Drosophila melanogaster: one gene and its partners. The protein of the gene in region 2 interacts with the protein of the main gene of each other region in a pairwise test. Each region holds a gene or a part of one and is shown on either strand. Other genes may lie near its edges.

The links.
Region 1: the proteins of CG4496 (region 2) and CG13482 interact in a two-hybrid assay, tested with the Drosophila melanogaster proteins (one large-scale study listed by BioGRID).
Region 3: the proteins of CG4496 (region 2) and CG8765 interact in a two-hybrid assay, tested with the Drosophila melanogaster proteins (one large-scale study listed by BioGRID).

The regions. Positions count from the first base shown.
Region 1 is NT_037436.4:14,327,294-14,330,451, forward strand, and holds CG13482 (uncharacterized protein), read left to right. Parts: upstream 1-2,052; 5' UTR 2,053-2,143; coding exon 2,144-2,452; 3' UTR 2,453-2,592; downstream 2,593-3,158.
Region 2 is NT_033779.5:7,188,301-7,192,060, forward strand, and holds the start of CG4496 (uncharacterized protein), read right to left. Parts: upstream 1,711-3,760; 5' UTR 1,185-1,710; intron 1-1,184. Other genes in the region: CG4497 (uncharacterized protein), read right to left, coding at 3,102-3,750.
Region 3 is NT_037436.4:19,685,233-19,688,992, forward strand, and holds the start of CG8765 (uncharacterized protein), read right to left. Parts: upstream 2,122-3,760; 5' UTR 2,004-2,121; coding exon 1,763-2,003; intron 1,705-1,762; coding exon 1,563-1,704; intron 1,415-1,562; coding exon 726-1,414; intron 660-725; coding exon 506-659; intron 447-505; coding exon 1-446. Other genes in the region: Gbeta76C (G protein beta subunit 76C), read left to right, coding at 2,496-2,564, 2,986-3,431, 3,486-3,687.

The DNA of each region.
Region 1 (3,158 bases), on a different chromosome or scaffold from region 2:
GAATATATGGTGGTAGTGGGGGGAAAAGCGGAGGACAATGCTTAAAGGCATTTCGGACTCGGCCAAAAATCAGACTCAGCATGTGCGCATAAAGCTCAAATAAACTCAAGTTGTTGACAAAGGGGTTAAAGGCCATAATTGTGGCCGTCGGCAGAAGGGGTTAATATGAATGGGGTGGCCTAACGCTTCCCCATGGGGAACCTTCCAAACGTGCCAGACTGAAAGTGGAATTTTCATTGGATGTGTAAACAAAACCAGCGGGGGAAAATGAGCCAGATGATCAAGTCTGAAAAGCTTTCGGTACGGTAGCACTAAAGTGAGTTTTTAAGGGGATATTCTCTGCTTTATGGCCGTGCTAATGTATTTTTTTTTTACAGAATAAAATTAGATTTTATGAATTTGTATGAAGGACATGTTATTTTATTATGATTTGCTTATGATTTATTGCAAATCTCTGAGACTTCCTGAGGTTTCTTGTAAATTACTATTTATTATGAGTTTATAATAAGTTGCCAATAAATTCAATTTATTGTTCCAATTTCATTAATAAACTTCGAAGTTTTTTTCTAAAACTTTCTCAAATATCCTTTTCTTCTTATTTTCCTCCAAGGTTGCCTTATCTACCACCAAAAGATTTCTTTACAAAGCTAATAAAATGTATTACCAAACTTTTGCAGAAGTTCTTTGAAAAGCAACTCCATAAAATCAAATTTATGTATTACCTGCATTGCCCCCTTCTATTTGCTTTCCCCCTACTTTCCAGCTTCTTTTTTACTCATTTCCTATATCGTTTTAGCTCCCTGAACTGCAGGAGGACAAAACCTCTGGTCGCACTTTAAATAAGCATTAAATTGATACAGCATAAAGTTGTTTCCTTCTCTTAGCCCGCTCTGTCTACCCCACTCTTTTGCTCCCAAGACGCACTCCAGACACACTCTAATCGCTTTATAACTTCTAACGCAGTTTATCAGAGTCGTCCGCAGCCCGTGGCCCCTCATCCCTTAATTCCAACACCCCCAAAAGTCATCCTTCCCATGCCATTAAGGCGGCTCAAAGGCAAAAGTTATTGTCACGCACTGAAGTCGCCTTCATGTGGAGTTGTGTGGTGCACTGAGAAAATCATTGGTTTTTAATAACTCGGCTCAAAATTATATTACATCAGTACGCAGGCTCTAGTCTTACAGTAAATATCAAATATTCTATTAATAAGATCAGTTAAAAAAGCTACTTTATTTTAGCAACATTATGAAAAGTTAACATTAGTTTACAGGGAATCCCTAAAATCATGTACCTATTTTGAGAGATATCCTCTTCATGGTAAATAACTCATACTCAATACACTGATAAGATTGTCAAGCTAAAGACGAAAATATTATGCAAGTGTTGATAAGAAGAAATTATATCAAGAGATTGTTTCTTTCTGTGCAATTTTTTTTATTGAAATGGTCGAAAGGGGGTATATAAACACCTCCACCCATGCCAATCTTCATGCAAAAGCTTTCTGGTTATTGCCTTCCTGCTCGCACTTTCTCTGTGCTTGTGTTGGGTGTCTTTAGTGCCTTTTTGGTTTTCCTCGCTTTTCTTCTTTCGTACTGTATTTTCTTATTTTTTGTTTAGGACTACGTCTGGCAAACAAGGCGGAAATTATTGTTGGCGGGGTCTTAAAGTTTTATTTTACCTTTTACATATCTATTTGTCAGCATCCTTTTTTTTGCAATATCAAATTGATGTTTTGTCTGCGAAATACTTTTTGTTTTTTCTTACATCTGCTATTACTATTACTGTCATTACATTCGTTAAGAATGAAAAGAATAAAAGCGCTTAAATGTTATGAATTAGTCCGGTGAGTAATTCCCGATCCATGATTGCACAAAAACATTGCTATCTTTATAGCCCACTTTGAGTATTAGCAATAGAATCGAAGTGAATCCCCAGTGAGTCAGTCGAATACACACCCCCTTCGATAAGATAAAGCAGCACAACAATAATACTATCTGAATTGTCAAGCTGTTCAAGTGGGATGTGTATATAAACTGGTCATATCAGCGGATGGAAAGGCAGTTAGCATTCAACAAGCAACGAGAGCAGTTTTCGAAAGGAATATATCAGTTTGATAAGGATTAAAAAAAGTAAAACATTCAAAATGTCGCCGCCACATCACGAAAATCGCCTGTTTGGAATCCACCTTGGCCTGAATTTGGGTGGAGGTGGACATCATCACCACCACCATCATCCACCGCCTCCGGTGCACCACTATCACCCACCGCCTCCGGTGCACCACCATCACCACCACGGACCTCCAATGCACCACCACGGACCCCCGCCGCACCACCACCACCACTACGGACCTCCGCCACCGCCGCCCCACTACGATCATCATCATCATCACCACGGCAGCCACTTTGACCATCATCATGGTCCTCACCATGGACATCATCATCATCACTGCTAGTACAATGGAATGGAAGGAAGGTCTTAAAAACCACAGCCATCAGGTGGCGAAATAATGAAAGTGTTTATAAGCGAATTTAATTTATTACATAAAGTGTACAAAAAACAAAACCAAAAAAATCATTAAAACCACTTAGACTTATACAAAGACATTTTTGAATGCTAGTTTCCTTGGGGAAAGTAAAAATAAATAAATTAAGAAGTACGATGATAATTCATGTAGAATTTTTTATATATGTATGTACTCGTAATGGATTTCTGCATTCCAAAAATACGTGTACTGCGCACTTAGTTAACAAATGTCCATACGATAAAGTATAAAATAACAACTAATCTTATCTTGATTGACATGACGCAAAGATTTCACCAAAACGTAATTGAACGATTCTCTATACATATAAAGCTGATTTTAAAGCCAAAGGAATCAAGAATAATTTTAAAACTTAATAATTCAAGAAATTCTAATCCAATAAGAAGATTATTGGCAACCACAAACACAAAACAAGACCACCCACGAAAACAAGTTTGTAAGCCGATAAATACAAATGAAATTAAATATAATTTTAGTACGGCTTAGATTCGCTTCGGGTGGGTCAAACAAAATGTTTGCCAATTACAAACCCATTTCGAAACGCTTTTATTTTTCTGCGGTTGTCACAAAACGCTAATTAGACAGCAGCTACCATATAGAGTGGGTCTCTCAATAC
Region 2 (3,760 bases):
AACGTGAGCCTTTAGCCCCCCTTTCCCACCACTGCCCATTGGCGTGTTAACTTGATTTTTCTTGGGGCCACGCAAGAGCGAAACACGAAAAACAAAGAAAATGCCCCACAACAACAACAAGGGCAACAACAAAAACAATGCAATTACAGCCGGAGCAACAGGCGCAGCAGCAACAACAACTCACGATTTTCAAGATTGCTCACAAGAGCAGGGGCGTAGGCAGGACATGAGAAGGGGTGAGGTTACCAGGAGTGAAAGGAATTCCTTACTATATATACTTGTATATAACAACGATCTAATCTTCAATGAAATGCCAAAAAAAAGATAATTTGCTTTTTGTTAAATAGGAACGATAATGTAGGATTAAAAATTTAAAGTATTTATTGTGGTTGGGGCAAATAACCCCCTTCGACGCAAATGCTTACGCCCGTGCAGAGAGGCGAAAAGAGAGCTGGAGAGTGATATCAAGGGGGAGGTGGGCGAGAGAGTGGGCGAGTGGGAGTACGGAAGCATGGCGAGAGCGCGGTGGGAGGGGGTAGAGGAGCAACGAAAAGGGAGCAGCGTGACCAAAGCGTAAAAGGCAACAACAACGGCGTAGCCAGCGCCAACGCCGCTGTCAACGTCAACGTCGACGTCGAAAAAAAATTTATTGACGTCCGAGCAGCAGCGCTAAAGTAAAACCGTGCGCCTTCAACTTTTTTTATTCGCATTTGCTTTTCTTCTTATTTTTAGCTTTTTGTTGTTGGTTTCCTTTTTATGCAAGTATATACATATGTACCTTCGTACATATGTACATATATCTAAGTAATTGACTTTAATTATTGGCCGCTTCTTTGGTTATTTTCCATTTTCAGGGCGATCTTCGGTAAAATGCCCATAAATGCCTGAAAACCCGCGATCGTTTTTTATGGAGTGTTAAAAAATGGCTTGCAGGTGAAAAATTACTAATATTCGCGTTTTGTTTAGTATAAGCCTTTACGATAAGCCATATACGACAAATTTGACTAGTTTTCGATTTTGAAAACGTAAACATGTTTCTCATCCTTCATCCTGTGATTTAAATAATTATTAAATTCAAATAAAATTAAATAAATTTAAAGCATTCAGCAATTAAGAGATAATCTTATACATACATACATATTCTAAATAACTAACCATATTTAAACAGGAAGAGACAAACTCACCTTTATATTTTTTCGCATCCGACTTATATAATCACTTTTGAGTCACTTTTGGCTGCCTAGGATAGCGTGTTTTCTTCTAATTTGTATTCCATTGGCGTGGGTAGTGGGGTTCTGCCCCTGTGATATATGGAGCCAGGTTCCCAGATCCGCTTCGAATGCTTTGGGCTAGGCTCCCGATTGCTTTGGTCTCTCGGTCTCGAAATATTGGCGATCGTGACTGCAGCGCTTAGTTATCTTATTTTGTTGTTTTTTTTTTTTTTTTTTTTTTGCTATAAAACTCGTTTGTATCGGATCCCCTCACACGTCCACAGACACCCACTCGACTTGGTCCGTGTGGAAACGGCCTGGTTTATCGGTCTCGGTCGGTCTCGGTCCCTGGCTTCTATCTTCTGGTCTGCGGGATTGGTTCGTCCGTGTTCAAGGCACGAGCATCTGGCCATGTGCATTGTGTCCTATCTGTGTGGGGAAACCAGTATGTCGCTGTTTGCGAATGGGGATTGGGGATTTGGGGAGCAATGCTCGGCTTCTCATTACCCAGGTGTTCGAACTTTTCGGTGCGTGTGTGTGCATATCGTGTATGTGGATACTTACTCGAGCTTGCAGGTGCTTCATGTGGCTGGCACGATATTACGCTGGGCGACGTTATTCTAGGCATACTCATAAAAGTTGTATATATAATAATATAAATTATACCTGCTTTTAATATTTATAAAGTAATGAATGCTATGGCCGTAGGAATTGTGCATTTTCTATCTGAAATATACTCATTTTGAATAGGCACTTTCTTGCTTTAGGTTTAGTATCTTATGTACATAAAATATGGTCAAGTTCACTGCCCGCGAGATACTTTTTACTTAAGTCGCTATTTATAATCTAGTTAACATATTTATTTAATTATTTATATAGTAGTTAATTGTTTAAGCCAACCAATGAAAACAAACAATTTGATCAATTGAAAAAATGTGTATTTCTTTTTGGATCCTTTTTAAGTATAACTTTTTTTCTTGAAACTATGTAAATTCGCTTACGATAATTAGAATCGGATCGTAAATCTATATAATATATGCGTTACTATATCAGTAAGGTTTTTGTGGGATACGCGCAGATATCCGCGCTAAATTGGATCACATTATAGGCAATATAATGCTGGATATATTATTACACATAAGCATAGAATAAACATATTTGGCAAAATTGGGGTTTTCTTCCTAATATCTAAGGGGTGAGGTGGCGACTAAAAACAAAACTAATGTACGTCGATTATTAACCGAAACATTGGAAATGGGAAAACATTCTATAACACAAAGATCGAGGCAATAAACTCTGGCTATATATAGTATAGTGAACCTTAGGCTAACATATTAAAACCGATTGATTCTAGGGGTGAAGGGAAGTGCGCAGCGTTAAATGATATGCAAGATGGTTTAGAACTTCAGACAAACAACTTAACTATGTACAACAAAGCTACGATCTAAAGTTAAGCAAGTCGGAGGATCTTTTGAAACTCTCAACTTAAGCGTGTGTGTGTAATTGGTTATTTCGGGTCGATTTTCTTAAACAAAAATCAAAGTACCACTAATTTATCTTTTGTCTCTTCCACGAAGATTTGTTTTGAACACTACGGGAAATATACATTTTAAACCATTTTTAATCCTTTACATATTACACCAAAGGTATTCTTAATTCAATTTTCTTTCTAAAAAAATATTGCTTGTGGTTTTTATAACAAAACCTTTGGTTGAGTTTTAGAACTTAAAAATGATCAAGCTATGCAATTTTATTCGAAAATATTTTCTAAAGCATTCAAAACAAATCAGCTAAAGTGCAGCAATGATTAACTTTTGGCTCCTGAGATTATAAGCATTTCTTAGAATTTCCTAAAATCGACCCCTAAACTAAGTTAATCTGTGTATGTTCTTAAAGCTTTTGCGGCACATCTTTGCTGACGGCTCCCGTTCGCTCGTGATTGACCACAAACTTCTTGGCGCCCGACAATCCCTGCTTGTTAATGTAGAAGCTCTTTTGGGCCAGCGGCGAACCACCGCCATCGGAATCAACCACCAGGCGATTCAGGAAAGTGGCAGCCGTCTTGGCACCACTATCGCAGGAGGATGACTCTATGCTAATGGTGGAGCATCCACCGATCGATGAGGTCTCACTTTTGGCATCGTCCATCAGAGTGGCATCATCCACCAGGTCGTTGACCAGCACCTGCGTACTGGACGATGCGGTGGACACTATGGAAGAGGTGCGACTGCGGCAGGAGTGCGTCTCCGATTCGGGTATCGAGATACCCTCGTCGATGCTTTGGCTCTGACTGCCGCCGGAAACGAGGCACATGGCTGCCTCCAGATTGGGACCGCTGCCAACACCTCCGGGCGAGGCGGAAACAGGCGACGGACATCCCGAGCTGCTGCTATTGTTATTTATCCCATTTCCGCTCACCGAATTGCTTGTGCACAGCTTCGAGATGAACAACTTGGGCGTGAGGCGGCCGTCAAAGGTTCCGGAATCGGGACTGGGACACACCGACGAGGGCGATTGGCACACCGGTGAGGAGCCGCGACTGAAATGGG
Region 3 (3,760 bases), on a different chromosome or scaffold from region 2:
GTCCATCTTCGTGATCGTAAGTCATTACATGCTGATCCTGCTGCTGAGGAGGTTGTTCCGCCGCCGTTGTGGTTTCCATCTCCTCATCCTCATCGTCTTCCACATCATCATCATTATGGTGTACATCTCCGTTGATGTAATTCTCGATGTCCATGTCGTCATAGGTGGCCACACAGAGTTCACTTGCCTGCTGTTGCTGTTGTTGCTGCTGATGCTGTTGTTGCTGTTGGTGCTGCTCTTCCTGCTGTTGCTGTTGTTGTTGTTGCTCAGCCTTGTGTGGTCCCGTCAAATGAGGCAGGGTGGGCAAGTTAAGCTGGGAATTCGACGAAGACGACTCTAGGGTGATCTGCTGCGTGGGCGGTGAGTGAGACTGGGTCATATGGTCCTCGAGTTCCCTCACCGGGTCATTTTTGGGTAGCAGCATACTGAGTTGCGAATCGCTTTCCCTGAAGAGTAAAAAGTTATCAATATATGATTATGTTAAAATAAACAAAACCTCTCTTACAGCGTCTTTTGTTGTATGTACTTCTGAAGGAAACTGAGCGAATTATAGTGCTTCCAACGCGATGTGGCATCTATGTGCATCAGTGTCCTCAATCGCTTGTGTTCGCGTGCGTATTGGTCCCTTAAAGCCTTCCACTTCAGTCGACACTGTTTCACTAAAATAGTTAATGCTTGAAAAATCATCTTCATCCTTCGGCTGTTTAAGTTTATCAACCACATACCCGACTTCTTTAGTTTTCTGGCGATTTCCTCCCACACCTCCATCTTGAGCTTGGCATTGCGATAGTTCTCGTTGCCGTAGTTGTAGATCATGTCTTCCTGCTGGATCAGCGTGATCAGTTCCTTTTCGAAGTAGCTCTCCATGTTGAGAAATGTGTGTATGGGATCGTCGTCCTCCTCCTCGGCGTTCGTCGATTGATTGTGCGCTGCTGAAGTGGTGGATACATTAGACGTGATTGTTGCTGCCGAGCTCGACTGATTGGCGGCATTGACGCAGTCCACTATTTCGTTGTAGAGAGTGTCTACCACCGTGGTTGTGTTGGCGGTTCCACACTGCACTATGATTGATGGAGTAGCACCGCCTCCCGCATCCGTCAGATAGTTCCAGTTCGCTTCCGGCTGCGAGTGCATTTGTTGCTGATGCTGCTGTTGCTGCTGCTGCTGCTGCAGCACGGCTCCAATATGGCTTGCCAAGAAAGTGGCTGCCGGCTTCTTATCAGTTGAACTAGGCGAACTGAAGCTGCAGCTGTCGAGCAGCGTGGATGCACTGGCATCCTCAATTTTAATGCTGCCGGAAAGGTTTAGATTCTGGCTACTGCTGTTGCTGCTGAAGGAAGTAGTCATGGGCAGCGATAAGGGGGTCACCGTACCCACGGCGCCATTGGAAGTCTGACCAGATCTCCCTCTGTAACTAAAGAATTGTGGGTTTAATTAAATACGGACATATCATTTGGAAGCCTGAAGAACAGAACTAGTGATAGATAGCTCCATATGCTGTATAGTCTGCATTGGCAGTCAGCATGGCGGTGCCAACTTGAATTGCTCCACGTGCTACTTACTTTCTTGCCAGCGCATATGGACGCAGGAAATCCAGCTCTTTGAAATACTTCCACTTCACTGCTTTTGAGCAGGCCTTGGCGCGCTTCAGCTCCCGGCAGTACTGATCCCTCATGGCCTTCCACTTGGACTTGCACTGGACGTCTGTGGAAATGGGATTAAGTGCCAACTTTTTGGTGGGGAAACTTAAACGTTCACTTACCGGACCAACCCACATTGCTGCCAATCTCCAGCCATTTCTCGTCCTTGATCTTGGTGCTGCGGTAGTGGGGATGCTTGGGATTGTATAGCGACTGCTCCTGGGAGACCAGCGAAATGAGGATCAGCTCCTTGGGAATGCTGACCACATTCTCACCCAGACTAGGATCTATGCTGAGATTCACGTGCTGCTGCTGCGGCTGCTGGTGCTCCTGCAGCTGGTTGGCACATGGCAGCGTCTCCATGGCGCTCCCTACTTGGTGTCCATGCTGGCGGTGTGTTAATATGGGCAATTGTTATAAATAAAAACAGGGAAAACAAAAATGAGGTGACCGAACAGCTGATCCTGGAGAGTTGTGTAATTAGAGGGACCAGTTTCGCCTTGGCTATACAAGCATCTTTTTTACATTGAGTGGAACATCTGGTGGCCACCGACCTGGTCACCCTGAACAGTCCAGTGCTGCAAGAGGCGCACACCATTTCGATAAGTTGGCAGCCCGCTCATATGTTCGATTTTAAAATTTTGGCGCCAAAAAATCGTCTTTCTATACATTTGTATTTAACGGCTAATCCAATTAGCTAATTGCATTACCGCTAAGGAAAAAAGAAAACATCATAACATTCAGGCAAAACAAATTGTTTAACTCTCAGTTTATTGTGCGACGCAGTGCGGTTCAAAACTAGAAACTTTCTTCTGGCAAATATTGCAGCCGTCCTTATATAATTAATGCTCCATAATGCCGAAAATTGACCCAGAAACACAAAAACTCTACGACGAAATCAATGGCATGATACAGAAGTTTAAGGTGAATTAAATAAACTCAACGTACAGCGAAGTAAATTAAAAATATCAGATAATAAATATAGCAACAACAAAAGTAACATAAAAAAGTTTTCCCCATATAAAATAACAATACTCTAAAAATACCGATAGCCAGCTTAAAAAGAAATTCGTTGTCCTTAATTTAATTTTAACAAAAAAATATTAATATAACTTTTTGGAATATGTATGATAATATGATTGGGTTTTAAATATCTTGCCAGATTTCATACTTCAGTGCTAACTACTCCCATAATATTTCATCTCGATAATAGTCGAACACATTATTTCCAATTTTGAAAAAATTAAGTGACTTAACTTAATCGAAAACTGTATGCGTCTCTAACATTTATTCTGGAAATTCTTGTAATAAAAATTGTCATTCATTACTATGATTTTGCTTTCAGGATGACCAAAAAAGCAAGGCTGATTGCACGTTGGCCGATAAATGCGGCGACATGGGGGATGTGCCCAAGATTCGATTCTCATCCAAGAAGATTCTCAAGGGCCACATCAACAAGGTGAATTCGGTGCATTTTGCCGGGGACTCGCGGCACTGCGTCACTGGATCGCTGGACGGCAAGCTGATCATCTGGGACACCTGGACCGCCAACAAGGTGCAGATCATCCCCTTGAGATCCGCCTGGGTAATGACGGTGGCCTTTTCGCCGTCGGGTAACTTTGTGGCCTGCGGAGGAATGGACAACCAGTGCACCGTCTACGATGTGAACAATCGCGATGCCTCCGGAGTGGCCAAGATGGTCAAAGAGCTGATGGGCTACGAGGGATTCCTCAGCTCCTGTCGCTTCCTCGACGATGGCCATCTGATCACCGGCTCGGGAGATATGAAAATGTAGGGCTTTGCTTAACTTTTTGGAGTAAAATCTAAGTTTCCTATGACCAACAGATGCCATTGGGATCTGGAGAAGGGTGTCAAGACAATGGATTTCAATGGACACGCTGGTGATATCGCTGGCTTATCGCTTTCGCCAGATATGAAGACCTATATCACTGGCTCTGTGGACAAAACTGCCAAGTTGTGGGATGTGCGAGAGGAGGGCCACAAGCAGATGTTCTTCGGTCACGACATGGACGTGTCATCCGTCTGCGTGAGTACACATATATGTTTTAATAATAATAGCTTATATTAATTACCAAGAACAACTATAAGCAGCTAATCTA